7 linked regions of the Oryzias latipes genome follow. The main gene of each other region encodes a partner of the protein of the gene in region 2 in a complex. Links are inferred from orthologs where the notes say so. Each region holds a gene or a part of one and is shown on either strand. Other genes may lie near its edges.

Evidence for each region.
Region 1: ints9 (region 2) and ints7 share a complex: the UniProt entries of both Homo sapiens proteins name them as parts of the integrator complex. The link is inferred for Oryzias latipes from reciprocal best matches to the Homo sapiens genes INTS9 and INTS7.
Region 3: ints9 (region 2) and ints1 share a complex: the UniProt entries of both Homo sapiens proteins name them as parts of the integrator complex. The link is inferred for Oryzias latipes from reciprocal best matches to the Homo sapiens genes INTS9 and INTS1.
Region 4: the proteins of ints9 (region 2) and brat1 are in contact, whole or in part, in a cryo-EM structure (PDB 8UIB), measured with the Homo sapiens proteins. The link is inferred for Oryzias latipes from reciprocal best matches to the Homo sapiens genes INTS9 and BRAT1. Residues at the interface, in NP_060720.2 of Homo sapiens: Gly276, Met277, Gly279, Glu280, Cys282, Ser283, Asn284, Ala286, Leu287, Arg290, Asn291, Tyr315, Asp317, Ser318, Ala319, Gly320, Ser483, His484; in NP_689956.2 of Homo sapiens: Ala406, Pro407, Cys416, Pro460, Gln506, Lys507, Arg508, Cys510, His511, Pro512, Arg517, Glu545, Leu549, Gln552, Asp556, Pro557.
Region 5: ints9 (region 2) and ints12 share a complex: the UniProt entries of both Homo sapiens proteins name them as parts of the integrator complex. The link is inferred for Oryzias latipes from reciprocal best matches to the Homo sapiens genes INTS9 and INTS12.
Region 6: the proteins of ints9 (region 2) and ints11 are in contact, whole or in part, in a cryo-EM structure (PDB 8RC4), measured with the Homo sapiens proteins. The link is inferred for Oryzias latipes from reciprocal best matches to the Homo sapiens genes INTS9 and INTS11. Residues at the interface, in NP_060720.2 of Homo sapiens: Glu127, Gly198, Tyr199, Ser200, Gln201, Lys202, Tyr231, Glu338, Phe339, Ile342, Phe343, Glu345, Gln352, Lys354, Val355, Tyr356, Leu357, Pro358, Glu359, Pro360, Pro361, Arg511, Arg512, Tyr513, Glu514, Lys515, Ile516, Glu517, Ile518, Met519; in NP_060341.2 of Homo sapiens: His94, Gln97, Ala98, His137, Leu138, His139, Gln140, Thr141, Lys274, His277, Tyr278, Lys280, Leu281, Phe282, Ile283, Pro284, Trp285, Arg291, Phe294, Ser449, Pro450, Ser451, Ile452, Pro453, Val454, Gly455, Ile456, Ser457, Leu458, Leu461.
Region 7: the proteins of ints9 (region 2) and ints4 are in contact, whole or in part, in a cryo-EM structure (PDB 8RC4), measured with the Homo sapiens proteins. The link is inferred for Oryzias latipes from reciprocal best matches to the Homo sapiens genes INTS9 and INTS4. Residues at the interface, in NP_060720.2 of Homo sapiens: Lys2, Tyr4, Lys18, Ser21, Thr22, Leu43, Val44, Gln45, Glu87, Glu89, Leu90, Asp92, Asp97, Thr122, Glu145, Arg146, Val147, Pro148, Lys159, Glu174, Ser176, Thr177, Ser192, Gln195, Phe206, Gly207, Ile379, His380, Ser384, Asn385; in NP_291025.3 of Homo sapiens: Leu53, Gln54, Leu57, Gln58, Arg61, Lys62, Pro86, Ser87, Leu90, Lys91, Ser94, Gln125, Gln129, Asp132, His164, Gln207, Asp208, Pro209, Arg210, Arg212, Asp244, Tyr245, Glu246, Gln247, Trp296, Phe837, Gly840, Leu841, Val842, Val843.

What each region holds. Positions count from the first base shown.
Region 1 is NC_019882.2:6,289,669-6,292,164, forward strand, and holds part of ints7 (integrator complex subunit 7), read left to right. Parts: intron 1-42; coding exon 43-282; intron 283-850; coding exon 851-988; intron 989-1,063; coding exon 1,064-1,270; intron 1,271-1,449; coding exon 1,450-1,644; intron 1,645-1,943; coding exon 1,944-2,047; intron 2,048-2,138; coding exon 2,139-2,207; intron 2,208-2,437; coding exon 2,438-2,496. UniProt on the Homo sapiens protein: Component of the integrator complex, a multiprotein complex that terminates RNA polymerase II (Pol II) transcription in the promoter-proximal region of genes.
Region 2 is NC_019882.2:12,966,197-12,970,405, forward strand, and holds the start of ints9 (integrator complex subunit 9), read right to left. Parts: upstream 2,801-4,209; 5' UTR 2,688-2,800; coding exon 2,679-2,687; intron 2,374-2,678; coding exon 2,246-2,373; intron 2,164-2,245; coding exon 2,103-2,163; intron 2,021-2,102; coding exon 1,958-2,020; intron 1,791-1,957; coding exon 1,651-1,790; intron 1,544-1,650; coding exon 1,457-1,543; intron 1,273-1,456; coding exon 1,152-1,272; intron 1,023-1,151; coding exon 888-1,022; intron 232-887; coding exon 120-231; intron 34-119; coding exon 1-33. Other genes in the region: pla2g7 (platelet-activating factor acetylhydrolase), read left to right, coding at 3,360-3,415, 3,493-3,655, 3,755-3,905, 3,993-4,086. UniProt on the Homo sapiens protein: Component of the integrator complex, a multiprotein complex that terminates RNA polymerase II (Pol II) transcription in the promoter-proximal region of genes.
Region 3 is NC_019866.2:7,350,569-7,354,805, forward strand, and holds the start of ints1 (integrator complex subunit 1), read left to right. Parts: upstream 1-1,437; 5' UTR 1,438-1,552; intron 1,553-1,845; 5' UTR 1,846-1,925; coding exon 1,926-1,980; intron 1,981-2,062; coding exon 2,063-2,353; intron 2,354-3,002; coding exon 3,003-3,199; intron 3,200-3,282; coding exon 3,283-3,420; intron 3,421-3,544; coding exon 3,545-3,704; intron 3,705-3,790; coding exon 3,791-3,896; intron 3,897-4,009; coding exon 4,010-4,196; intron 4,197-4,237. UniProt on the Homo sapiens protein: Component of the integrator complex, a multiprotein complex that terminates RNA polymerase II (Pol II) transcription in the promoter-proximal region of genes.
Region 4 is NC_019859.2:21,374,036-21,378,071, reverse strand, and holds the start of brat1 (BRCA1-associated ATM activator 1), read left to right. Parts: upstream 1-1,236; 5' UTR 1,237-1,768; coding exon 1,769-1,895; intron 1,896-2,715; coding exon 2,716-2,864; intron 2,865-2,949; coding exon 2,950-3,097; intron 3,098-4,026; coding exon 4,027-4,036. Other genes in the region: eif3b (eukaryotic translation initiation factor 3 subunit B), read right to left, coding at 1,124-1,226. UniProt on the Homo sapiens protein: Component of a multiprotein complex required for the assembly of the RNA endonuclease module of the integrator complex.
Region 5 is NC_019859.2:15,819,744-15,823,990, reverse strand, and holds the start of ints12 (integrator complex subunit 12), read left to right. Parts: upstream 1-1,447; coding exon 1,448-1,450; exon of another isoform or gene 1,451-1,457; intron 1,458-1,558; exon of another isoform or gene 1,559-1,714; intron 1,715-1,820; exon of another isoform or gene 1,821-1,939; intron 1,940-2,594; coding exon 2,595-2,753; intron 2,754-2,850; coding exon 2,851-3,003; intron 3,004-3,615; coding exon 3,616-3,797; intron 3,798-3,960; coding exon 3,961-4,120; intron 4,121-4,235; coding exon 4,236-4,247. Other genes in the region: gstcd (glutathione S-transferase C-terminal domain-containing protein), read right to left, coding at 1,042-1,449. UniProt on the Homo sapiens protein: Component of the integrator complex, a multiprotein complex that terminates RNA polymerase II (Pol II) transcription in the promoter-proximal region of genes.
Region 6 is NC_019865.2:23,481,376-23,485,572, forward strand, and holds the start of ints11 (integrator complex subunit 11), read left to right. Parts: upstream 1-1,397; 5' UTR 1,398-1,597; coding exon 1,598-1,625; intron 1,626-1,861; coding exon 1,862-1,959; intron 1,960-4,197. Other genes in the region: cptp (ceramide-1-phosphate transfer protein), read right to left, coding at 675-808.
Region 7 is NC_019871.2:2,461,128-2,465,293, forward strand, and holds the start of ints4 (integrator complex subunit 4), read left to right. Parts: upstream 1-1,366; 5' UTR 1,367-1,444; coding exon 1,445-1,498; intron 1,499-2,396; coding exon 2,397-2,591; intron 2,592-2,927; coding exon 2,928-3,045; intron 3,046-3,155; coding exon 3,156-3,262; intron 3,263-3,440; coding exon 3,441-3,555; intron 3,556-3,673; coding exon 3,674-3,759; intron 3,760-3,864; coding exon 3,865-3,915; intron 3,916-4,166. Other genes in the region: uncharacterized protein LOC105355351, read left to right, coding at 257-608. UniProt on the Homo sapiens protein: Component of the integrator complex, a multiprotein complex that terminates RNA polymerase II (Pol II) transcription in the promoter-proximal region of genes.

The sequences.
Region 1 (2,496 bases), about 6.7 Mb from region 2:
AAATCTGTATTTTATTGTCGTCTTCTTTCTGAACCACCACAGACTGGCCTCACCTCACTGGTCAAGTTGCTCAAAGGTCGACCGCATCTCAGCCAGGCAGCTGTGGATTTCCTGCTGGGCCAGCTCCACTTATCCTGTGACTCGTCCCGCACTCTCATTTGCCACGCTCTGGCGGCCATTGCCACTCACCTGCCCGTGCTGGGGGACGGCATGCTGGGGGATCTGGTGGATCTCTACAGGGTTGTCAGTCACTCCTCCACCGGAGAACAGCAAGAGCTTCTGGTGAGAGATGGCAATCAAGTCACGCCTGATTTTCTGTTAACTTGCGTTGGATGTGGATTTGGTTCAAGATGACATTTTTTGTGGATTTTCTATTTTAGGGTCACTTCATTTAATTGTTCCTTAACTATGGCCAGCAGCAGTCCTGGACTGCGAGGAATAGATTGTTTTTGCAATTCTCTTTTCTTACTGCATCTGGTCAAAATGTATTTTGGGCATAGAAAGTGGAAATGTGGGTGTGGTTAACAAAAAACCTTTGTAGCTAAGGAAATCCAAAAATTACATAGACCTGTTCGTCAACCCCATGTGACCAAAATAATGAATAGTTGCTATAGAGATGAAATCAATAAAAATATTTTGGGGAAAAAATCATTTTTTAATGAATTTGTCATGTGCAGTTTTGAACAGAGGGGCAGAGTGAAGGGGTTTAGCAGCCACTCAGCCATTGAGGGCAGGTCAAAGGGGGCTGCAGGGGCGGGTGGCGCCTACAGACCATACAACGCCATGCGCAGCTTTGGTTTTCTTTTTTATCTGCCATTTTAAACTAATTCACATAATGTGGCTGCTACAGGTTTCCTTGGCAACAGTGATTTTTGTTGCAAGCCAGTCATCTCTTTCAGCCGAGGTGAAAACTGTCATCAAACAGCAACTGGAGAGCGTTGCTAACGGGTGGACGGTGTATCGCATCGCACGCCAGGCTTCACGGATGGTGAGCTTCTATCGAAGCAGCGTTTGCGTGAAGCCATGAAGCCGGAAATCAAAGCTCCTTGTGTTTGACCTTCAGGGGTGCCACGAGTTTTCCAGCGAGCTGTACCAATGTCTGCGGACGCGTGTGGCATCTGAACACTTCTACTTCTGGCTGAACAGCCTGAAGGATTTTTCCCAGGCTGAGCAGTGCCTCACTCACGTGGAGGATGGAGACTACAGCGGAGCCATGAGTGCCATCGCCGAAGCTCTTCGCTCCTACCAAAAGGGCATCGCCTCCCTCACAGTCGGTTAACTCCCAGGCATCTGCTTGTCATAAAACATTAATGTAGTCCACGCTTCCCTAGGGACTTAAGTGTTTTAGGTTTTGAAAGTCATTTGGATGTTTATGTATTTTGTTGACGCTCCTTAAGTCATAAATGAGTAATATTTGTGAGCGTTTATCTGATGCATCTGTCCCTTTAGGCTGCCAGTACCCCTCTGAGCCCGCTTACATTCCAGTGTGAGTTCATTAAGCTGCGCATCGACACTCTGCAAGCCCTGTCGCAGCTCATTTGTACATGCAACAGCCTGAAAACCAGCCCCCCTCCTGCCATCGCCACCACCATTGCGCTCTCCTCCGGCAACGAGCTGCAGCGGTGCGGCCGCATCTCTCTGCAGGTTAAAGAAATAGATTCTGTTTGGGTGAAACTTGTGGAGAAAAGAGTTGGGAAGTTCTGCTGCTAAGTGGAAATGCATTGTGGGAACAGATGTTGAGGGTTATTAACTCTGTAGTTTGACTAATGAGCCTTTTATCTTAACGTTCCTCCTGTCCGCTTTGACATGTTTTTATCTACAAAATGTGACGAAAAGGAGTTTCCTGTTAAAATGCAAATAAATTATGAAAAAATAAAAGAAATCTTGGTGCTGACAAGCAAGATTTATGAGATTATTAATGGTGCTTCTCTTCTTTTTTCCAGATGAAAGTATGCATGGAAGAGTTCAGAAGTCTCGCCGCTCGCTATTCAGATTTACACCAGTCATCTTTTGATGCTGATTACGCCACCCTTCGTAATGTGGAGTTGTATCCTTAGCATTGGACTGAAGTCTGTCTTAAAAAGGTTTTCCATTTTTGCTCTCTACTGTGATTGACTTCACCTTAACTGTTTATGCAGACAACAGCAGAGCTGCCTGCTTGTTTCACATGTAATTGAAGCTTTGATAATCGACCCACAGGTAGCTAGGTGAGATTCACTCTTATCATTTGGCCTTCAAAAGAATGCACATTTCTATACCTTAGTCTATTTAAAAAAAAAAAAATTCTATTGCATATTCGTCCCAGTGTAATTCTACTGGAAGACCTTACTCTAAATATTTAAACATATCATTATTTATGTGAGAAAGTGAACTAAGAAAACATCTGGCATGAGGATGTATGAAGTTAAGATGTCACACCGCTTCTTGTGAACTGCAGTTTTCAGGAGTACGGCACTCTGGGCTCTGTCCAGACTGAGAGTGAATATGAGCGCAGAA
Region 2 (4,209 bases):
CCAACACGTTTCCTCCCGCCCGGATCGTCATGGCTGCAGGTCATCAACAGGAATAAAGAAGATTGCTCCACACATTTAAAAAAAAAAAAAAAAAAAAAAATCAGGTTTGGAAAACCCACCCAGGTTACTGCAGAATTCTCCCAGCATGCCATCTGGGTTGGCTGTGGGCATCTGGGTGAGCCCAGTCAGAATGAGAACATCGCTGTTCTTTAAGGAGCTCTGGTCCATCGGCTGTGAAAGAAGAAACTGGAATCGTTTCAAACTGTGGAGGACATTCCTCACAGAAAACAACTGAGCTCTGGTTTCTTGTTTTGATTCACAAAAAAGCTGCTTAAGGACCCACTCTGATTAAATTGTGGCACTTTTCTGATGATGGGAACATATATTAAGAAAATAAAGCATAAAATGTCATTTCTGAGTATTCCTTTAGTCAAATCGTTGTGAGTCAGCAGACAAAACTTCAGTTTGAAAAAGAGCGCGTTTGTTCTGTAAAACACGCTGGGTGGGCCACAAGCTTCCTGCTCCGCTCCATTCTGATGGATCCGCTGTCAAACATTTAGATTCATGTACATCTTTGTTTTCCCCGTCTGAGCTGGAATCTAGATCTAAACTGTACGGCTGGATAGATCACATATTGCTCACCATTTTTGTTGCACCGCTAATTTTAGGTTGTGGCTCTGAGGGGCTGTAAGCTAGTGGAAGCTCTCAGTAACCGAGAGAGGAAGAAGGCTGTGTTCATGTTAAATGGTAAGCTACGAACGCACCGGGAATGTGGAGCATGTTAAGAATGTATGCTTTTAGCCACGTGGTGTTTATATTGGAAAAACATGGAGGGGCTTCATCTTTCCTAATCTTTCTCCTGTGCTGCTCGGCTCTCCTCCTCGTACCTGTGGGTGTGTGGTGAGCAGCGATGAACCCGACACGTACGCCACTTTCTCATGATGGGACTGGATGATCCAGTTGGAGCTTCCTAGTGAGTAGCCAGAGCTTAACGGGGAGACCTGCACAGCTCCAAACAGCTCCTGGAAAGAAGTTAATTTTTTTTTTTTGAAATGGTAGATTAAAATCTTTAAAAAAAACAGTAAGACATGTATTTTTAGTATTTATTTTCACATGCAAGAACAATGTGTTGTTTCAGATTTTTTTTTTACCACTTTCTGGGAATAACCCACGAGCTGCACTCTGCTGAGGGCTGAGTTAACCTCCTGGATGCCGTAGCATCGTTTCCACGTCCACACGTCAACCGCATCCTTCAGCGGCCCCGGAAGCAGCCTGATGTTACAACATTATTCAGTGATGAACTGTGTTTATTTGACACTTCTCAACAATCTTTTACATGTTTGTACCACCTTTTTTCACCCCTTCCTTTGTGTCAAACAGATAAACAAAAAGCACATCTAAAGCTGAAGCTAGTAGGATTTGAATGATCTAAATATCCATTTTGCTGCAGACTAACCTTTGCATGTCTTTATTTTTCCATGAGGTGGCACTCTGAGCTTTAGGAACCCTCTCCATGAAGTTCACCAGCTCTTCCATCAGCAGTCTTCAGAAAAAAAGTTAAATTTTCAATTGTCTGAAGAAAACTCAAAGCATGAAAGATATTTTGGTTCACATAATATTTACTGGAGTTTAGTTTGTCTCCATATTTACCTCCCGATCTGTAAGGTGGGCTCTGTGGCGTACACGGTCCCTGTGAAGCCAGTGTGTTCAGTGATGTATGGCAGGGCCATCATGCAGTGGTAGTTGGAGATAAGGATGACATCAATTGTTGACAAATCCAATAACTCTTTCTGTATTTAAAAGATGTAAAAAAAAAAAGAAAAAAACCTAAATATATAAACATTTGATGGAGAGCAGGTTTGGTTTCCTTTGATGTTTTAGCTGCAGACTTTTACATCTAAAGATAAAATGGAAAAAACAAAGTTCAAATTTCAGTTAAGGATGGATAACCAGCAACCTCAGGTAGACAAAACTCAGGCTGCGAGTCCACAAATACTCTTCCGGCACATTCCTTTAGCTCCTAGGAAGATGAAAAAGAATAATTTTAGTCAAAAAAAACAAAAGGTATATGTGAGCCAGTTTTTACACATCACACTTCAAACCTTTTCCAAATTTATTGTTCCATCCTTTGAAATCCAGCCAGGGAGCTTGGAGAGTCTGGGACTGCAGAAATAAATCAAATATCATGGTTTAACGAGTCTAATGCTAAAGCATGCATGTAAAAGTGCATAAGTATGGCAGTCACCTGTGCACAAGAGGAAGAGGCAGGAAGTTGAGGACAGATGTAGTGTCCAGTCCACAGTCCAGCATGATAGTGGTGGACTTGAACTTGAGCACATTGCAAGGCAATGTAGGATGACCTGACAAACAGTACTGAGGGGGGAAAATACGTTTTTAGTTGAAAAGCCAGTCAGTGCAGAGTAAATAAAACTACAAGTATAGTAACTATGCTAAATTGTCTCTAAACGAAATGCAAACAGTTGCGCCAAAAAGCAAAACAAATAAGCTAAATAAAATGTCCAAGACTGTATTATGTTTGTTGGAAAAGTAGTACTATAAGCTATTTATCTCCATCAAAGTCAATACTACTTTCTTGCTACATAGTTTCCCGTGGATTGTAATAGTTTCTAAACATTCAAAGATTAACAGTTTACACTTTATTTGTGTTTTTGACTTACCAATTTCATTTCTTTAAAGTATCGAGGGATAAATGACTCTAACGTAGCAGGTTTAGCTAACACGCCATATTTCTATTATTGTTCGATTCCCAAGTTCGCTCTCTACTGCCCCCTACAGGCTTGGAGTCACATAAAACAAACCCAGCAATGTTACATAAATTCGTTAAAAATTAGCGAACATACTTAACCTTAAGTGCAATTGCTGGCTAATATTGGTAAATAATTAAAATATATATTTATGGGGGGAAAAGGTATTTTTTATTAAAATAAAACTTTTTGATGGAGTCGGAGCCGTTCTTAAAAGAGCTGACCCAATGTGAGCAGAAACAGATGACAAGAAGTAACCCGTCTATACTAGAACTGTGAGTGGGCGACTCTATTCTGTTCCGTGCATTAGTCATATAAACCAGTCACGCCTCGGTTGGATGAGGTTTTGCCCGCGAGCAGAGGCGGAGCGACGGGCTGGGGATGGTGCAATAGCCGCGCAGCGTTTAGCCCCGTCACATGCTAACAGCTGCTGGAAGTCATGAAGCGGTTAAAAAGCTCGCAGGTGACTCAGACTGGCACAAGACAATAAACAACGCAGGAATGTTACGAAACTGACGCCTTAAGACGAACCGTTCACCTGCGTCCAGATATAAAAACGGAACATTTTGGTTTCGCCCAGTTTTCGAGACGTGGATGTTTCCTCTCGGAGGTTTTGTCGTCAAGAGGTTCTACGAGTGGGTCAAAGTCGGGTAAGGGAACCTGTCCGCCTGTGGAAGACAGGAGCGGAAGTTTCCGACACTTAACAGCAGTCCTGGTGTCATTTTAGGGTAATCGAGTTTTCTTTGACGCGTCTAAAGGCAGAGCAGAGGAAGAGGTTTTCGCCTTGGCTCGCTGCCATGGGGAACTCATGCAGTAACTTTGGGATCCCTGCAGGGAATGGCCCCAATCCTGTGGGGTGCACTGATTTGATGATGGACCACACAGTGAAGGTAAATAAACACTCATGTAAATCTTGGAATTACTAGAATTTCTGCTAAAACAGTGGAACTAAAATTGTTTTTGTGATCTTGTTTCCGTCCCTCCAACAGGGCTCCTTCTTTAGGCTCTACTACCCTTGCCAGGAGACCGAAAAGGCAGAAAAACCAGACTGGGTCCCTTGTAAGGAATATTTTAATGGCCTGGGAGACTTCATGAAAATCAACAGGAGGCTCAGTGAACAGATTTTTAAATACCTCTTTGGTAAATAAATAAAAACGATACTTTTTTTTTTCTAAATCTACAGATTATCACAATTCATTCTTTTCGATTGTGTTTCATTCGTTCCAGGGTCCTATAAGATCCCGGCCTTCTTAGACGCGCCGTATAAACCGGACGGAAAGCGTCCAGTAGTCATCTTCTCCCATGGCCTTGGAGCCTTCAGGTACACAAACATATTACATTGACTTCATAGGGCTACGTTCACACCCGGCATGTGACGCTCATTTTTACATGTGGTGTTCACACTGGACAAGCTGGGCTGAGCAGGAAGCAGCTGCAGGCCCGC
Region 3 (4,237 bases), on a different chromosome or scaffold from region 2:
CATGTTAATGTTACTTTTACTTCCTTAAAACATCCTTACACAAATATTTCTGAAAAAGAAAACACATTGACCAAATTTGGATTTGATTTGACAGACGCCCTGAAATTCTGATGATCAAGAACGTGTAATTTAAAGTTTGAAGTCAATTTATAAAACAAGAGAGAAGTCACTGTTATATTTCAGACACACCAAATGAAAAAATGACTGTTTTTGTCTTCAGAAATGGATCTGAGATGGCAGATTTATTTTTATAGTATTTTTAGAATAACGATAATAGAATTAGTCTGCAAAGACTTTTTCTGCATCATTGATTTCTTGACAGTTTCAACAGACTTGTTGATGTTGAAGTAAGGAAAATAGTCTCCATCTACCTCTAGGGGTTGTTGCATGTAATTACATGGGCATTGTATCTTCATCCAGGTTTGCATTGAAAAGATTGAAATACAATCGTGCTGGTTATAAAAGCCTCTCCGTGTTCCTAAGAACAATCTAATATTGACAGACTGATATTAAAACTACATATACACACTTATTGTACTAAAAGATATGAATCCCAGTGTAGATTTATCCTAAAACGAAGTGTTGTGAGTCAAGCATCACAACGCCTGAAAATGAAACAAAGCTGCTTATGAACAAAGTGCAACCATCATACAAGAGGTAATCGCAGTTGTTTAAGCAGTATCCGCTTTCTACAGTGTCCTGTTAGGGCAAAAATACGAAGAGACATTTTCTGACTGATATTAACCCAGGGAAAGAGGACTAATGTCAAAACACATCAATGGTTCAGTACCTCTATTTTAGCAATGTACCCTCTGTAAAATATTTATTTTCTTCCTGGAACCGACTAATCAGCACAAGACAGTTTTCCGTACCTTTCATAAATGAAGTGTTTCACACAGGAAGACAGAAAGTTTTGGGCTATTTTAAATTAACATTAAGAAAATAAATACATCAGTTGTGAAGAGAATTAGCAGCATTAAGATAAAAATGTTAAAAATAGAATAAAATTGTGGTGCAAGATCTTTGGGAAAGAAACAAAGCTCAAATCATGTCTAATTTATGTGCCAAATATTTTATAAAGGGGATTTCTTATTAACTATAACTACTGGGAAAAAATAGCTATAAAAATGATTGGAGATAATCACTATAAAAATAACTTTATTGTAAATTGACTGCATAAACATCATTAACAACTCAATAAGTCAATAGACAAAAAGTCACAAAACTGACTATTTAATTTATTATTAAAATGTGGTCAAATTTTTTGTTATGGTGAATATCATGAATTACAAGTTTGATCATTTTTTATTATTTGTTCAAAGCATTTTTATAAACTGCCTCTGCTCTGATGTTGTGTGCCACTGGAAGTACACTTGTTTGATGGTCGGTAGTCAGTACAAACTTCCCGCCGCTAGATGGCGCTACTTGCATTTTTATTGGTGAACGGTGACTTTAATGAAAGCAGAAGAAGTTACCGCTGCTCGCTCCCCAGTTTATTCCGTCTCCGGTTGAGACGATTATTGTTAAGTTTTATGTAAAGAGCTTTGTTCAGGTTAGTGATAATTCGTTTCAATAAACAGGATTATATTTATATAACCTTTCGATAAGACAAAAGTTAACACCAGTCACGTTTTTTGCCACATTCTAAACGGGTAAATGTAGCTAAAGCTGTTATAAGCTACACACTCTACTAGCCTTGTTTTGATTAGCCGCTCGCGTTTGGTGTACTGTGTACTAGTAGTACGGATGTAACAAGCAGCATTTTTTGAACTAAAAAAACGGAGTATGTCTATGCTACTGCCACATTTAATATGCCAAACAATGCATAATTTGCTTTATTTGCAGGATTATTTTTTTTTTGCCAAAGAAAGAATGATAATCTGTTCATCCTGTCGTGGATAACTTGATGATTTTGATCAGAGAAGATGAATCGCCCAAAACCAACAACTCTGCGGCGCCCAAGCGCTGCCAAATCATCGGGTATGATCAGCGGGAAAACACGAAGTATTGTTTTTGTAACGTAGCATCTATATAGCTAAAATGTGACATTTGACTGTCTCAGGTCATCCTCCACCTGGAGATTTTATTGCTTTGGGCTCAAAGAGCCAAGGTGTTGAGCCCAAAGCCCCCGCTGTTCTCCTGAAGCCAGCTTCATCAGGAATACCTACAGACCGGAAGAGAGAAGCCGCCTCCACCTTACCCTCTTCCTCGGGTCTGTCCACCCTCACCAAACGACCCAAATTGTCCACCACCCCTCCTGTGAGTGCACTTAGCCGCTTTGCTGATGTGGCTGCGGTAGACAAGAGGGCTATATCGCCTTCAATAAAAGAGCCATCAGTGGTACCAATTGAAGGTAAATTAACCATTTACTTTATGGTACTGAAAGATGTTTTGAAAACCCACTCCAATGATGTTTTTGCTGTTTTTATCATGATCTTGTGGTGATTTTCTGATGATGGAGGACATATATTAAAAAAGAAAGCTCAAAATTGCATTTCTGAGTATTTCTGTACTCAAAATGTTGTGAATCAAGAGTAGATGAAAAATGCTGCTCGAAAGAGAGCTTATTTCTGACAGAAGGTACACTGGCCACTTGCCATTCTGACTTATCCAGTCATACACAACTAGATCCACGTACGTTCGTTTTTCTCCTCTGAGCTGGCATCTGGCTCAAAACTGTGCAGCAGGATAGCTGCAAGATTGCTCATCATTTTTGTTGCACCAGTAATGTGAGGTTGGGGGTGTGAGGGGCTGTAAGCTAGCAAGCGAACGTGTAAACAGAGAGCTGTCAGTAACGAAGAAGGGAAGAGGAGGCAGGTTACTTAACGCCAACGGTCCCACCCACCACTCATAGGTGAATTTCTAATAAGCTCCTGAGCTCCTGGGAACGCTTTTAAAATAGCTTAAAAGATGATCGGAGTGGGTCTTTATGACATGCAAACTGTCAATAAAACAGTTAATGGCAGATGTAAAAGTATAATAACCTCTCTTTGTTTGGACAGTGTCCCCAGCTCTTCTTCTGGATGAGATTGAAGCTTCAGAGTCTGAAGGAAATGACGATCGCATTGAGGGGTTACTTTGTGGAGCAGTGAAACAGCTAAAGTTGAACAGAGCCAAACCTGACACAACGCTGTACCTCAGTTTGATGTTTCTGGCTAAAATCAAGCCAAATGTCTTTGCCACCGAAGGGATCATTGAGGTAAGACTCTCAGATGCATGTTTAACACCTACACAAATGTTGTCATTAAATGCTTTTGTCTAACCTGTTCCTTTCGGCTTTAGGCTTTGTGCAGCCTCCTGCGTCGGGACGCTTCAATCAATTTCAAGGCAAAAGGCAACAGCCTGGTTTCTGTGTTAGCTTGCAATCTGCTCATGGCAGCATATGAGGAAGATGAAAACTGGCCAGAGATCTTTGTCAAAGTGAGAATGTTAATGCAGGGCAGCCTGACTATTCATATTTCATTCTTCAAGCTTTTTTTTCTGTCATTTATGATTTTTTTTTTTGTTTTGTTCTAAATTTAAATGTGATTTTTTTTTTTTTTAGGTTTACATTGAGGACTCACTGGGGGAACGAATCTGGGTCGATAGCTCTCACTGTAAGAATTTTGTCGACAACATCCAGACTGCTTTTGGCACCAAGATGCCTCCAAAGAGTATGCTGCTGCAGGCTGATACCGGCCGCACAGCGGGGGATCTCAGTGCAGGTAGAGTTGAAAAGGTTGCTAATTCCTTGAGAGTTTGGATGCCAAAAAGCACATTTTTATTTATGGATTTATTGTGGCTGTTCTAGGTAGCAGCCCTCATCCGTCCACCCCAGACGAAGATGACAGTCAGACTGAGTTGCTAATAGCAGAAGAGAAGCTCAGTCCTGAAGATGAGGGACAAATTATGCCAAGGTATGAGTAGATAGATTTTTACTTTCGTTAACTGGGGTAAATTATGTTAAAGGATTCTTTGTACTAAAAATAATTGGTGGGAAATTTTGTGGTTTTTTTTTGTAACCTTGTAGATATGAAGAACTGTCAGAAAGTGTGGAGGATTATGTCCTTGACGTCCTGAGGGATCAGTTGAACCGCCGACAGCCGATGGACAACGTTTCCCGAAATCTGCTGCGGCTTCTCACAGCCGCATGCGGCTACAAAGAGACCCGACTCATGGCAGTGCAGAGGCTGGAGATGTGGCTCCAGAACCCAAAGGTGAGAGTTTTGATGAAGAACGGGATAAAAGCAGCACATAA
Region 4 (4,036 bases), on a different chromosome or scaffold from region 2:
AATGGTGATATTAAACTAAATCAACAGCCACTGGAAGGTTTACCATTCCCCTAAATAGCAAACATCAGAAAACAAACCAAAATAATGGCAAAGGGTTGGATCTATTGTCAGAGTGGTTTATAATTGGAATTAGTTTAAACTCATATTCTTACCTTTTGTTTAGTTGCTGTTCAAAGACAAAGTTCTTTCAGTACATTTGCAGCAAGATCTTACTTTATACCGGATGCATTTTATTTTGAAAGGAATTTGTATGCGCTGCTGTCAAAAGGTATATAATAGTAATGTAACACTGTTATAATTATATTATTCCAATTTTTAAAGCTACTTTTTATGAATGAATGGCTTGATGGCCACAAAAAATGTGATTTTTTTCTTCTTTTTCTTTTAACATAAACAGAAAATAAACAGAAAAGTGAGGCTCTCACTGGGTTTTGGTGTAAAATAAACTGGACCATCATGTGCTTCTTTCAGCACTAAAGCTTGCAGACCCCTGATCTATCTGCTTCACTTCTTCCTTTAAGAGGTAGGTTCTTTGGTTAATCTGTAAATTACTTCTGCAAATGTAATCACCCAAGTTCAGTTTAAATAATCCTCCAGACAATTTTAAGTAGTCTAGATTATATGAAATCCATTTGGATGCTGTGTCTCTATGTGGTTAAAAAAAAATGTGAGCTTTGTTAATGCCATGAAGTATATTGTGAAATAACAAAAGAGCATATTTAATTCAAACCTTTCAAAATGTCACAACAAGACAAGAGTAGTGACGTAAATTCATCAATTTATATATTTGTCAAATTGACTTAAAAGACAACTAAAGATGCTAATTTCCCCTTTAACTCATCGACTTAAAAACTGACGGTATAGCATCTGGTATGATGACTGAATGAACGGCGTTCATGATCATGATAGACAAGAAAACCGATTGTTCGTGTGTTTCTTGGTTGATAAAACCTTCCAATTAACTCTGTCGAGACTAATACGGCTTAACTAGTCCATTCTTTCGCCTAAAGAAAATGTCAAACTGACAGCATCTGCAAATATGTCAAAAGCAACGGTCCGTCTAGCTTTTTAGCTAGCAGTTAGCAATAGGCCTACAGCCGGCGCTTTTCCTGCTAGCGCTTACCCTCATCCTCGACATCATCTACGAAGTCCTCCGGGTCGCTGAAGGAAGGCTCCTCCTCCTCCTCATACTCTGGGTCGTCCACCATATCAACTGTATTTCGCATTTAATGGGACTGCGGTTCTGAAAAACCTTTACAGAGGCGCAAAATCCCGGAAAATGAGAGGCTAACAACGAACGACCGGTGAGGCACCATGTGCGAAAATGGACGAAGAGGCGGAAACGTGACGCCGGAAGCGGGTCAGAGGCGCGTTTACGGACCATCGTGAAATCGCAAAGTTGTAAAACAAATGGAGGAGCGACAACAACGAATGCTCAATTAGATTTACTGCATCGAGATGAATACAGATCGAACGGTAGTAGAAGCTACTTTTGCTAGCAACATAAGGGGAGTCACCTGCCAGTAAATTGTTGAAAACTACTTCTTTTTTAGAGTTACTCGCAATATGTCTCAAATACTGACTACAAAATTGCCACATGAAAGTAATTCACTTTTTATCCATTTACTTTTATAAAGGTTTTTTGGTTTAGCTATATGATTTTCGCTTTTGATGAATTTCAATATCGACGATTCGAAGGTTTGAGTTAGTTATCGTGACGTGAGCTCCAAACTTGGTGTATGTTGGGTTTTCCCGGCCATTCTTCAGTATGGATGGAGACTGTGTGTCTCTCCTGCCGCGGGTCTGTGACGTTCTGGCGGCCCCGAGAAGCTCTTTGCCCGATGATACAAGCCTGGAAAAACTGCTGGACTGGTTCACAACATTCAGCAAATCGGGTTAGTTCTGGGAGCTGTTCCCCATACTACGAGTTCTTCCCAGCCAGTCTGGCGCAGTTTTCTTTGTTTATGTGAATTCAATTTGGCCGGGATATAATTTGCACATAAATTCCTGGAAATATTTGAAATTTAAAATTGAAGTACATTTAATAATTATTTATGAAGAGAAGTAGAAGTTCAGGTCCCATTAAAATCATCTTTTGATCAGTTGTAAAATACTTCCCAGTGGTCTTTCAATTATGATTATGCCTTTTTTGGTAACAATTTTAAAGGAAACTGTTATTTTTTTAAGGACATAGTTTCTGCAAAGCAGCAAAACCTCTTAGAAATTTGCATCTGAGTTGGCGGAAGTAAGCTTCTGCTGATTTCCCATCATCCCTTTGTTAACACTCTCTTCTGGTGGCTTACAGCCCCTCACAACCCCAACCTAACATTATCTGTGAAACAATAATAGCGAGCAATATTAAAGCTATCCATTTCCAGGCATACAATTTTGATCCAGATAGACATGGATTTCTTTGTCTGCATGTGGATGCATCAATGGAGCAGAGCAGGGAGCTTGTAGCCCACCCATCTCACTTACTGTGTTTCAAAAGATAGCTTTCTCTAACGACATTTTGTGTGCTCCTGATTCACAACGATTTGAATAAAGATATACTCAAAAAATGCCATTTTAGTTTTCTTTTGTTTATATATGTGTTCCATCATAAGAAAATTACTACAACAACACGTTAAAAAACCCCAAAACACTATTTTCACTGGAGTGGGTCTTGAATGTTTCTGTTATCACACTCTTTGACTGTGTCTCCTCCTGTTGAAGGCGTGTCTCTGCTGGAGGTCAACCCATGTCTGCAGGGCTTCATATCAACTGTAGTTTCCAGCAGAGCTGCAGAGTCCAGCATCATCTCCTTTGCCCTCAAACTCACTGGTTTAGTGGCTGCTGCTGAGGATGGCTTCAGAGCTCTCCAGGTAGGCCTCATATCTCCTGCATTTCACCAACATCACACAGCCATCCACAACACTGATAATGATGATGATGCTCTCGCCCCCACAGGCGAACTCTGTCCTGGACCTCGCCTTTAACCCTCAGCACTGGCGTGAAGATGGACTTTGGGATGATCCTTGCGTCCGCATCGGCTGGATTCAGGGCTTCAGCACAATGCTGCAGCACAGACAGGCTTTCAGTTTCTTTGTTCAAGCAGGTAACTCGTCATAAAAGCTGAGCTCTCTTCCAAACATGTAATGACCGTGACAATTTTTGGGCTAAAAGTCACTCTGGTGCATAGTAAATAAGATACTATAAGATAATAATAACAAATTCACATATAAGTTGCACTAGAGTAGAAGTTGCACTTTTTTGGGAGAAATTTATTTTACAAAATACGCGACCAAGAACTGAAATTTCATCCTGAAAGACAAATCATAGGGATGAAATAGACAACAAAAATAGACTGAAAATATGCACACGCTTCACTACTGTAACACGTAGCTTCATGAGACATTGGAGGAATTGAATAATCTAGTATATTGAACAATCGTTCAGATAACCATAACATAAAGAGCGCACTAAAAAATCAACTAAACTCACTATATCACTTAAAATCACTAAATCTGTTGAATTCTTCATTATCTGTGTCACTTTGGAATAATTCTGCCCAAGCCCGCCGTAGACTGAGCGGCCCTACTTCTTTAGCGTTGCTGTCAGTAGCAAATACTGATACACACCTACACTGCCCTCTAGTGGCTGTTAGTGGAAAAAGAAGAAATACACAAGCATATTTATTTAACCCTTGTGCTATCCTAGGCACAAGGGTTAAAACAAGGGTTAAAAAAAATCACGTAGAAGTCACATCCCCGGCCAATTATGCAAAAAAAATAAAAAATAAAACGCGCCTTATACGCCAAAAAATGTCCAATAGCTGTTTATTTTTCAATAGACAATTGTGGGATTTTGGCTCCTTGGAGCCAGTGGGTACTTCCTGTGAACTCAATCCAGTTATCATATATAGTTGATATAACTATACTGCGTCATGTTGCAGCAGGAAACAGTTGGAACTACAGATCTTATAACTTGATACCATCTTGTACTTCTGGTAGTGTCATCATCTCCCTTTAATGCTTCTTTCCTTAGACTCCATCAA
Region 5 (4,247 bases), on a different chromosome or scaffold from region 2:
GTTGGCAGTTGTGAACAGGTTCCTCTTCACCATGGAAATGATTTTGCCATCATCCACCACTGTTGTCTTCCGTGGACGTCCAGGTCTTTTTGCGTTGCTGAGTTCACCAGTGCTTTCTTTCTTTCTCAGGATGTACCACACTGTTGATTTTGCCACTCCTAATACTGTAGCAATTTCTGGCATGGTTTTTTTCTGTTTTCTCAGCTTAATGATGGCTCCTTTCACCTGCATGGAGAGCTCCTTTGACTGCATGTTGTCTGTTCACAGCAAAATCTTCCAAATGCAAGCACGAGTCCTCTAATCAACTCCAGGCAGAAACAAAATTAGAAAGAATGTGTCTCTGTCCAAATATTTATGGTCCTGACTGTATATGTAGATGCAGTTTGGTCTGGGTCATCTTGTACTGCTAGCAACAAATCCTGCCTTTAGGTGTTCAATGATGGAGTCAATTTGACAAGACTGTAGGTATCTTTTTTTACTGCCATCACATGTGTGTTGCCCACTGTAATGGCACTCTGTCAGTTTTTATGTTATAGTAAAATACACCCACAAGGCCTCAATCCAAATGGGACTTTCCAATATTGATAATAATCAATTTATTTCATTTTGAAATGATTTCATAGGTCGATTCAATTAACAGCTTGCGTCAGAAAGATCTGGTTGGATCATAGGAATAAAATTCGATTTTAGTCAATTAATCATTACATCCATAATTTGTTGGCAAGGTGCACCACCTGTCACCGGGGGGAAATGTCTGATAATTAATGTTGCTGTTTTTCTGTAACATATGGCAACATTGACCTGAAACTGTAAGATGATACTTGGTGTTGTGTTGGGGGGGTGTCATTTTTGTGGCATCTTTTTGCCTACAAACACAACAGCTGTTCCTTTCATGTAAAACTGCATAACTTTGATGCCCTTTAATGCAAAGCATCACGGTCTTTTCATATTTTCAAAACACACATAAAGACTTTTTGTGTTTTTCCATCCTGACAACCAAAACAAACCTACAGAGACGTGATAGAGTGTAATTGCACCAACCTCTGCACAGGCTTTTAAGCAGGTCTTTTTGAAGCCCAGCAGAGCTGCTACATCCTTCCTGGAAGGGTCAGCCTCGATGCTCTTGTCGATGATGTGTCTGAGGACCACCGCCAGTCCGGCCCTGCAGATCTGCGCGCTCTCATCCAGAGCAGCGGGGAGGCGGCAGCTGCTCACCAGTTTGGGCAGCTCGTCCACCTGGACGTCTGAGAGACTTGCAGATGCTGGAAGCTGGCTCTTCAGAGGCTCGGAGCTGCTGCTGTCGCCAAGGACGAGAAACACTCTGAAAGACTCGCAGTCGCAGTAAGACAGCAGAAACAGAACTATAGAAGAGTGCAGGGGAAGACGCAGCTGCTCGTTTTGGCTGCAAACTTCTAAGTAGAGGCACGGGGGTTGTTCGGCGTGTGTCATGGTAAATGCTGTGAATGGGAGAAATATGTTTAAGTATTTTTTATTATCACTATTTGTCTTTTCAACTGCTAATAATGCCATAAAACAGTCAGAAAGAAGTCATACAGACCGGCTACTTTACAAACATCACGTTATCAGCGTGCTGCTTTTTCTTCTTCTACTACGAGTTATTGAGTCGAGTATTGCCACAGCGCCACCAGCTGGTCGTTAAAATATATACATTTTAAATGCATTTATTGATAGAAAGTCGGTTAGAATAAAACTTATTTAAAAATACGAGTGAAAAAACAAAAAACAAATTCGCTTTGCTATTACGTGAAGTATATTTTTTGTTCTACTTGCGCCGCCCACTTAGATTCCGGACACATTTATCGGGTGCACATTGTGAAAGACATAAAACGTCAGCGGCGATTTCCTCTTTGTGGAAAGAGTTCTATTAAACAGAAATATCTACAGCAGAGACCAACATTTTGCAGAAACTGAGTGTGAGGTAGGATTACCCATTTAAAGCTATAGACTGGGGATTTTGACGTGTTGGTGACATTTGGGAAGATAACTTTACCTACGGTGTCGCAGTGATATTGTTCCGTCCATCTGCTACCAACGATTACTTTAAACCCTACCAACTGGATTTGAGCATTGTGGGTTGTTTTTAATAGACACAGGCATCATATTTCTTTATATATTTGTAGTAAATAATGCAGAGGCAGGATTTCTTGTAATAAATACCGCAAATAAGGAAAAATAGCTGGTTAGTCTTAAAAACGTTCCGTTTTTGTGTACCCATTATTAGGCAAAACTCTTAAAAATGAACATTTTTATTGGTTGCTGTATTTTTTGTTAGTTTTGACAGCCTATAGTTCATTGTAAATTGCTTTATTTGATTACAATTGTAATTAGCAAACTATAACTTTGAATAAATATGCTCATCATTGATATTCATTGTTGTAAATGCTCCCAGACGCCTATAAACATGTGTGACTGACTTAATAAATGTTTGTTTTTGTTTTTGTTTTTTATTATAGTTAGTATATTTAATTTGCAATCTAGATAAGATGAAATAGTTTTGTATTGTAGCAAAGTGTACATTTGTAATTTGCAGACGTCAATGAAAACCTAACATTATTCAATCATTTTCTAACTAGGCCATGGCTGGACCTGTCAGCTTGGAGTTGGACCCCCTTTTTTTAAAGGCTCTGGGTTATTTGCACTCCAAGAACAAAGATTCAGCAGAGAAACTCAAAGCTTTACTCGATGAGTCCCTTGCGAGAGGAGGTGACTCCTCCTACCGCTCATTACAAAAAGTAAGATCCGCTTCTTATAAAGATAGTCTTACGCTGTCAGTGATAATTCATTCGTATGGAGCTTATTGCTCCTCTTTTCTGCTGTGTTCATCTTTAGGACTTGGAAATGCCAAAAAGTTCTGTGTCCAAACTGAGCCTGACTAAGCAAGACTCAAAGTCTTTGAGCACTCCATCTTCCAGCAACAGTGGAAGTTCCAAATCCAGTTCAGAGAAGAGCAAGAAAGAAGCAGAGAAGAGGCCATCAGAGAAGGTGGGGGATTAAAAGTGTTGTCACATTATCATGTATGTTTAGATGACACCATGTGCCATGATTGGACTGTACTCATTAATTCTCTTCAGGATTTACATTGATTCCAATTAAAGCTGCAACAATTGTCAATCATTAGAATTTAGGAATAAAGCCCTGAAGAGACATAAAATATTGACAAATGCAAAAAGAAATGACAACACTCAAAAAAAAAATGTTTGGAATAAAATTTGAGACTTTTTTTTAACACCAGAAAAAGGATGCCTGATCAGGGAAAGAGAAAAAGAAAACATACATGGGTCATTATTTTAACATATCAGCAACTTAAAGGTTGTTTTTTTTTATGAATAATCGAAGTCTTGATTTATGGCTTTCCTGGGTCTTGTAATTGAATATTATTACTTTATTTTATGAACTAAATGATGCCACAGCGAGATGAACAAGTCCATTTCTAACAAACATGTACATCCTTAGTTTAAAATAATAATAATAGACATTGCTTGGGACTTTCTTCTCAATCTGTGGTTATTTTAAGCATAACAGCTTGTGTGATTGAACACCAATGTTGGTATGAATTTTCAAATTTCATACGTTCTCTGTCTCATTGACAAATAGATACGGGTGGAGTTGTCTGAAGTGGATCCTCCAAAAAAGTCCCGCTTGGAGAAACCGGACAATCGCTCGTCCCCTATAACTGTTCAGACGAGCAAGGACCTCATGCCCAACATACACGACTACGATGAAACTAATGCTGACGACTTTGCCATGGAAATGGGACTGGCTTGTGTGGTTTGCAGGTGCTTGTTAATTATCAAATGAAATGAAATGAAACTTTGAGTTTCTTTGTTATTTGCACATTTTTCTGGTTTGTGGATCCAGTTTCTCTTTCTACAACGTGCGAGTTGGTATGAAATTCTCTTCACTCAACTGTTTTTGCGTCTGCGTTTCTCTGAACTGTAGACAAATGACGGTGACCATGGGAAACCAGTTGGTGGAGTGTCAGGAGTGTCATAATCTGTACCACCAGGACTGCCACAAGCCCCAAGTGACAGACAAAGAGGTCAACGACCCCCGCCTTGTGTGGTACTGTGCTCGTTGTACCAGGCAAATGAAACGCATGGTGAGAGCTGTTCCTGTGCTCGGGTATTGACTCTTATAGTGATCAGCTGGGAGTCATGGCAACAGGACCAACAGTCTTCATTAAAGCTAATGATTTTTGTGTGTGTGTTCTCAAGGCGCAGAAACCT
Region 6 (4,197 bases), on a different chromosome or scaffold from region 2:
TTCTCCAAAGCTTAACTTCAAAGAGAATCATGTTTTCACCTTTTGACAAACTGAACCTGTCATTTTGTTCTACAAGAGTATCCACGTCCAGGCTTTAAGAACCACCGCCCTCCGTTAAATCCACTTTTCCTGAAGCAAAAACTCACTTTTTTATTTTTTAGACATTTTGAAATTGAGCTGGCGGGCAAACAATAAAGGAGGTCAGGGGTCAAAAGTGGTCCCTGCACCTGGAGACAGACCCTTGCTCTCCACGCTCAGGATGGGCCATCCACTCAGCATTTAGAGAGAACGGGAAGGAGAAGAAGCTAATGAGGGAAACTGCTCTGGAAGGCCACATGTGCAAGAAGCACCTTGTGGAGTTTAACCAGTTAATCGGGAGGACGGTTAATGCTCGCCCACCTCCTGGGACTTAAGGAGACCAAAACTGACTCCCCAGACCTGAACAGCAGGTTGACTTGGAAAAACAAGTTTGCATTTTGCAAAAGTTCTGGTGCTTTCAAGATCAACACGTTGATTTTGACCAAGACCGTGCCATGATAGAACTTTGACATTTTTTTCAGGGTTCTTAATCCTTAAATTTTTGTTGTTATTTTTTTAAATCAGCTTTAAATGTCAGTGACCGGCCAGCTAAAATATTTGAACCCCCCCCCTCCAAAAATAAGAAACTCACTCACTTGACAAGCCCACTCCATCCAGCCAAGTAATGCTCGAGAATCACCTCCTTAGTGGGTGACAAGCTCAACTTAAAAGCGTCCAGCTCCTCCTTAAAGCAGAAGTTCTGGTTCTCTGATGCGGCGGGCCCAGCCATGATGATCGTGATCTAGTAGGAAGTGCTGTCCACAACAAGCAAACAGCGGAAAACGTGGATGACGTGTGCGCGCGACCGCCACCAGGGAGCTACAGCAGGCCGGAACAAACCGATGACAAATGTCAAAATCGTTCCCTGACACAGGCGAGCAAAGTGAAAGAAAAATGAAGCATCCCTCCTTTTAACTCCGACTATGACAGGTCACTCTTATCCGCCTCTACCGCGCAGACTCAGACCGGCAAATACAGGAAATTCTATTTGTACTTTCAAAATAAACTGATATATCCGTAAAATTTAGCAGCAATAACATTACAAAAGGAGTAAAACTCTTCAGAACAAACTTTGTTTTGCTCATTTCAATGTTTAAGACTATGTTTGGTTACTAACTAACATGCAAAGAACTTTTTTCCATATTGTGAATAAAAGAAATCTAGATAGATGTATCGTATATGTAAGTAGGTTCCTGTTTCAGTTAACTGCTTACATATACATTTCATATTGAGATGTTAAATATATAAAGTAAATCATACAACATTTCAAAAAATGTAATTGACAGGTTTATCTTTTGAAGTACTTTTGACTTCTTTTCGTCGGCTCTTCTTTATTTTGAAAGCGTAAACCGGAAGTTTTGTTTTTGCAGATTAGCTAGTTGCTTCTTTGAAAAACAGTATGAATTGTTATTTGTAAAACCTCAATACTTTAAACATTTGCTTTTCTTTTAGTTATAATTGACCAAAAGGTCGGGAAACGTTGTCGTTTTCGTTCACCGGTTGCTCCGGTTAAGACAACATGCCTGAAATTAAAGTAACTCCTCTGGGTAAGTCCAGCAGGTTCGGTTAGCATGCTAGCACGTCATTCAGACAAATGTCTTTAAAATGAAAGTTGTAGTTCTTAGTGGAGTTTTAGAAACCAAAGCAAACAATGTGTGTTTTTGTCGGACCACGCAAACTGTTGTGTGTTAGCTCCGTCCTACGTGTTGCTAAACGGACAAAGCTGCTCATATAACCATGAGTTTGTGTGTGGATTTATTGAGCGCGTGCGTGTTCCTCCAAGGTGCTGGACAGGATGTGGGCCGCAGCTGCATCCTCGTCTCCATCGGAGGCAAAAACATCATGCTGGACTGTGGAATGCACATGGGATACAACGACGACGTGAGTGAACGACGTTACCATGGCAACAGCAGGCCCCTGTCGTAAAGCGCTTATAGGTTGAGAGAGCTGGTACTCACCGTTTATGGGGACAGATGGAAGAGTCTCCGGTCTGATGTGAAGCAGAGGCCGGACTGAATGAGTGAAATTGTAAAAAATAATTAAACGAATACACAGAGTTGAGGATTTAGCTACCGTGGACCAGGAAGAATCTTCCAAAGGATGAAGTGAGATGAAACGACAAACCCATGGAGGAACAGGACTCAGTCTAGGAAGGATGACAGTGACGTGTTTTTTTCTTTTCTTCTTTTTTTACGAGGTTGCATCAAGTTTAAAATCACTTACAAAATACTTTTTACGCAGCTCACTGTACAAAGTGTTCAACAAATAAAAAATGAAACTATAGTCACCAGTCGAGGTACCAATCTAACTATTTCAGTATACCGCGTACTGTATTCATTTAAATGTGTTAAAAATAAAAGAGAGAGAACTGGTGTGCTGCGAGAGTTGGCTTATAGAGCAGAGCAAAAGGCACTGGGATGGTTTGGACATGTTGAAAGAGCGTTGGTGAAAAAGGTGTACGAATCTGATGTGAGTGGAGTGAGAATGAGAGGAAGACCGCGAATGGGATGGACAGAGGGTGTAAAAAGAGCGCTAAATGCAAGAGGGATGACTGTGGTGCAGGGGAGAGAGGCTGCTCAGGACAGGGATGGGTGGAGAGAGTTTGTGTATGAATGAATGGATGGGTGGGGTAGAGGTCTGGTCTTGGTATGAAGCGGCAAGGGGAAACCAGCCTTGGCTGAGGCCCTGCTGTGGAGGTGCCCACACTGGGCTGTGCAGCTGACCCTGGTGCAGTGTGGTGTGGCTTAGGCCAGGCCTTAGACCAGTCACACACACACACACACACACTGAAGGAGGAGGGTTTGGGGAAGAGAAGGAGGGAGTTAAGAATGTGTGCCCTGTCTAGGCTACCCCACTTTGGTGGGACACAGCCTGGGTATATAGATATAGTCATTAAATGTTTTTAAAGTCCGACTCCAGTCATTTTTTGATCTGTTGTAAAAGCGTCCCCAGTGATCTTTTAATCAAGAATATGCTGGTTTTAGCCAAAATAAAAAAAATAAAAAACGGTGTCGTTTTCTAAGACATAGTTTCTGAAGAGCGGCAATAGTTCATCAAAATTAGCCTCTGAGTTCTGGGCAGGACTGTTGGTGTGGAGTTGCCCCGCCCTCACTTTCTTATCATCTTTTTGTTTACACTTTCTCCCACTCTCAGTGGCGGTTTTTGATATGGGCAATGTGGGCGGTCGCCCAGGGCGGCACTTCGTGGGGGGCGGCATTTGGCGTGCCCGATGCGTGCGTTACGCTTGCAGCTTTTAATTTGAAATTGCTTCAGCTGCCGACACTCAACACTTTTATTTTGATACATCAGACTGTTAAGAATGTCTTCATCCTATTTGATCTTCACACTTATGGTGCAAAAAAAAAAAAAAAAAAAAAAAAAAGATGAAATAACTCAGAGTGAAACAACGTAAAACAGGCACATGAAAAGGAATTGGGCAGAACAAACACCCATGCTCAACCAAATTTCGACAAAAGCAGGCAATGGGGATTATTTCCCACAATTCCTTGCTCTGACACGGCAGACCCGACACGCACGTGACCACCGCCTTCTGCTGCAAGACATTTGCGGCCACACCTCTTTGCGGCAGTCTTTGGAACATAAGTCAAAAAACTCGAGAGGGGGGCGCAACTCACCGGTGGCTGAATCACACTAACAGGTGATTGGGAGTCTTTTTCTATCTGACAATCAACTCTGAGCCGCAGCTGCGCCTCCCGTCATAGAGACGGAGCCGCGTGTGTCAGAGGGAAGGGGAGGGGGGGGGGGGGGGGGGGGATGAGCGCAGACCATTTTTTATGGACTGAGGTTTTTTGGAGGATTTCTACTGTTGGTGTTGCACAAAATTAGGGAAATGCCAAATATTTTTTGAATAATCCCACTGATGAGTTCTATGATTTATTCTTTAATGTTTTATAAGACCTAAACATATTAATCACAATAAGTTTTATTTTTTAGATCTAATCCCTCTGATATGTTTCACAAAGACACACACAGGACGTCACACATTAAGAAATTATTGCTAAAAATGGAGCAGGAGTCCAGCTCTAAAAAAATGCTCTAAAAAATGATGAAAGAGCAAAAAAAAACGGAATTATTTGATTTGTAATTTCTTATTAATAT
Region 7 (4,166 bases), on a different chromosome or scaffold from region 2:
AAATAAACTGAGCATAAACCTGGATTATGTTGAATATTTAAATAAATTAGGGGTGCACATAGACTTTTAGAGCTCAAAGAAAACAAATGTATGGATCCCTGAACTTAAGGAGAACTGAATTTTTATTTCTCAAGTTTTCTTTTTTTGTGTGACTTAAAATTGAAATGAATCAGTTTGATTATCTGCAGAAAAAAAGTAAATCTGTAATTCAGGCTTTGAAATGAGAGTCACAGCTGTGATCGTGCTTCTCCTCCAGGCATCAACTGACTGAAAGAACTCACTGCAACGCCACGCTGGTCCTGAATCTGCAGAAGGAGGACAACGGCAGGAGGTGGAGGTGTCAGGTGGAGACCAAGCCAGGCGAAATAGAGACTCATTGGGACTTCACCTCCTCCTTTTTGTTTGAAAACACCTCCTCCGCCCGTGTTCTGCAGCCTCCTGCTGACGGCTTGTGTTCCGTCCGGCTGCCCATCAGCCGCATTGTGTTGTGTGTGGCTCTGCCGCTCATGGTCGGCATCGTGGGATTGGTCACATGGGTGTCGGATAGAAAGAGGAACAAGATGTTAGCTGCTGCTCTGCAGCATGACACCATGGGAATCAATCACTGACCTTTGAGATGATGTTTCTCCCAATGACACTATTCATTTTCTTCACTCTTAAGCTTTTATTCCTAACTTAACAATCTGCACTTCAGCTTTCATCTGAGTACATTTTACTGTTTTTTTAGTTGTCTAGAAAAAAACTTGATATTTGAATGTAAACAGTGTAAAACTTTACAGGCCCTCATTCTCTCTATAATGGAATCATGTGTTTAAATTTAGAAATTTGTAGATGGTTTCAATATTTTGTTGTTAAATACTACCCCTGTCTTTCTTAAGGTAGCGCGGATTACTGGATTTAACTGTCTTAACTGAAGTGACTTATTTGTTTGAACACATGTTTATACAAGTCAGAGGAAATTTGTAAAAAAATACTTGTTTTTTTTTATCTTTATATGCAAACAATAAAAAATATCATCAGATTTTTGGCTATTAGTGCTTTTATTTTATTGTTCTTCTAAAGTTGCTTTATAAACATTTTGCTATTGTTTTCCAAATTAAAATATTTTATGGTGATTTCAAAGATGTTCTATTTCTTGGCTTGTTCTAAAATATTCATGTTTAATGCACATAATTCATTAATTTATTCGTATTCATTCGTATTAATTAATTTAATTCTAAAGTTAATATTTCTAGACAAGGAGTTATTTTTATAGGCCAAAGAAATATTTTAATATTTTATGAAAAAACTGAAGGGTGTCTTGGACATTCATAGACTGCGGACTACCCTGAGTTCTCCACTCCCGGCTTCCGTAGGAAAACAATGCATTTTCACAGCTACGGAAAGTGTAAGGGGACAATTCTGCGTTTTGAGGAAAGAATTGTCTGTGCGTACCTACTGAAACATGGCAGCACATTTGAAGAAGCGAGTGTACGAGGAATTTTCAAAAGTCGTTCAGGTAAACGTTATAATTGTTTTGTTCGTCAGCTTGTTTTTGTGCGCAAGACCTTAATATGAAGCTAAAAACTGCGCTTTCAAGCTAACAGGACCGTTTGCGCATGCTAACTGATTAGCTGACTGAACAGCAACAGGAACCCGTTGCAGCTTCAACAACTCAACACACATTAGAGTTTGTACATGTTTGGTGACTTCATTTAAGGTCAAGTTGTGGAGCTGACTTTCTTTAATGTCACAAATATTTGGCCAATTGCAGCCTAGCTAAAGTGGTTAGCATCTGATATAGCTATAGCAGTCGTTCAGCGGTGCTTTCAGATGTCCTCGGACTTTTATGTGTTTTCTCCTAAAATTTAACTCTTTTTAAGGCCCATTAACTTGGGAATCAGACGTGGTTCAGATATTGGTGGTCATCTCTATCAGCCAGGTTTTTTCCTGTATGTTCAGGAACTAGTAAGACAGAAATCCATTCTATTCATTAACAACATACCCACATATTCATTAAAACAGATTCTATTTTGATTTAAAATGTTGCAGAAATGTGACTTTATACTTTAACTGGTTGCTCTGTGAATCCTGTTCATGGCTATATGTGAAAAGCTCATCAGATTCAGAGGGGAACTGTTTTTGTTTTTTAAAGTTTTTGAGTATCTTTATAAAGCAGATTTTATGAAAAGAATCTAACTCTTTTTAATTAAATTGTTCTCAGATGTTGAGTAGGAAAGGATGTTTAGGTGGTAATAACACATGTTGAATATATTTTAAAAAATCATAAACATTGATCCTGTCTTTGCATTTTTTGTAATAACCTTTAATCATTTAAATAAAGATTGAAACGTTTTCTATGTTTTTTTTTTTGTTTTTTTTTGCATAAATAATCTTCACTGTCATCGTGTTTTCAGATTCCTCATGAAGAAGCTCCGGCCAAGAAGCTGCGTCTGTCCAAACCCAGCAAGTCTGCTGCGCTGCACGTTGACCTCTGCAAAGCCACCAACTCCACCGACGCGCTGCAGTACCTGCTGCAGTTCGCACGCAAGCCCGTGGAGGCGGAGAGCGTGGAGGGCGTGATCCGGATCCTGCTCGAGCACTACTACAAGGTAAACGATGATAATGATCAGCAACAATGTGATTTTTAGAGCCGCTATGACCCTGAGCAGGATTCCACAAGACAAGATGATGAATGGATGTTGGAGATGTGGGCGGGGCAATGGTCGTTCTTTGGAAAATAGATTTCTAAGATTTAGATTTGAATGTTTATTAGTATAAAATGTGAAAAGAAAGTTCTAGTTGCTTTTAATTTTATAGAGGCGTTACTTTTTATTCTTACTGTAACATTTCAATTGTTTAAATAGTTCTAGATAGTTTCTGAATATTAGAACTCGACACCTTTGTTTGAACCGAGAAATGCGTCACGCCAATGTGTCTCATGTCAGGAAAACGACAACTCTGTGAGGCTGAAGATCGCTTCTCTGCTCGGTCTGCTGTCCAAAACCCGGGGCTTCAGCCCGGACTGCATCTTTGATGACGCCATCAACACCCTCAGCAATGAGAGTGAGACACACTCCATCCCTTTTTATTTTCATCAGACCTCAACTGTCCTCTCTGTCGGCCTTTGTGGCTTCATGTTGCGTTCAAAGACCCTTTACTGTCTCTGTGGACAGACTCCCATCAAGTCCTCGCTCAGCTGTTGGGCACTCTGCTGGTCATCGGGACTCAACTGCCAGAGAGTCCTGCAGTCAGACTGAGGCTGACCGAGGTGGCCTGCAAGGTAGCACACACACAAACACACACTCACGGGCACACAAGCACACGCAAATGCAGATGCACTCACAGACATTTACATATATAAAAAGAACACACACACACACACCGATGCACGCACTCATACTCATGCATTTACATACACACATTCCAGCATCTGATAGTTGTGGTCGTCTCCTCTGCAGCATCTGTCTGATACGCACTTCGGGGTGAGGAACAAATGTCTGCAGCTGCTGGGAGGTCTTGGCGTGGCGGACGCTCCTCTGCTTAAAGACGGCGAGGGATCGAGCTCGTCTTCAGGTCTGAATGTCTTAAAGAGGAAACTCTGCAGGCTGTTCAGAGCTTTTCTTCTGAAGCATAACATGACAGCCGTTTGGGTCAGGATGGGTTCTTATTATGCCTTTGACTTGAACAACAGGAGCTGTGAGAGAAGTTCAGACCATCATCAGCGATTACTTCGCAGACCAGGACCCCAGAGTCCGCACCGCAGCCCTGAAGGCCATGGTAGGTCACAGCGGAGCATCTTTACCTGCCAAAAACCTCCACACCGGACGCTGAACAAAGATCCCACGAAGTGCATAACTAATCTGAAGACTTTGTTTGTTTCAGCTGCAGCTTCACGAGAGAGGAATGAAGATCCATCAGATCATCTATGAGCAGGTAGGAGCTCAGGTTTATAGTTTTCACATTTAGGTCAGATTCTGAGGGATTTGATGCTTTGGAACAGAAAACATGGAATCAGTGAAGAGATTTCAGATTACTAGGTTTCACTCACAGCTGAAAAATATGTTTATTTCTTTATTTAACAACTAGTTTTAAGATACTAATTATTTTTTAAGTGTTGCACCTTTCCAGCCAGTCAGAGGCCGGGCCCATATAAAAACATATGTAGTTCAAAGACGTAGGGGTTT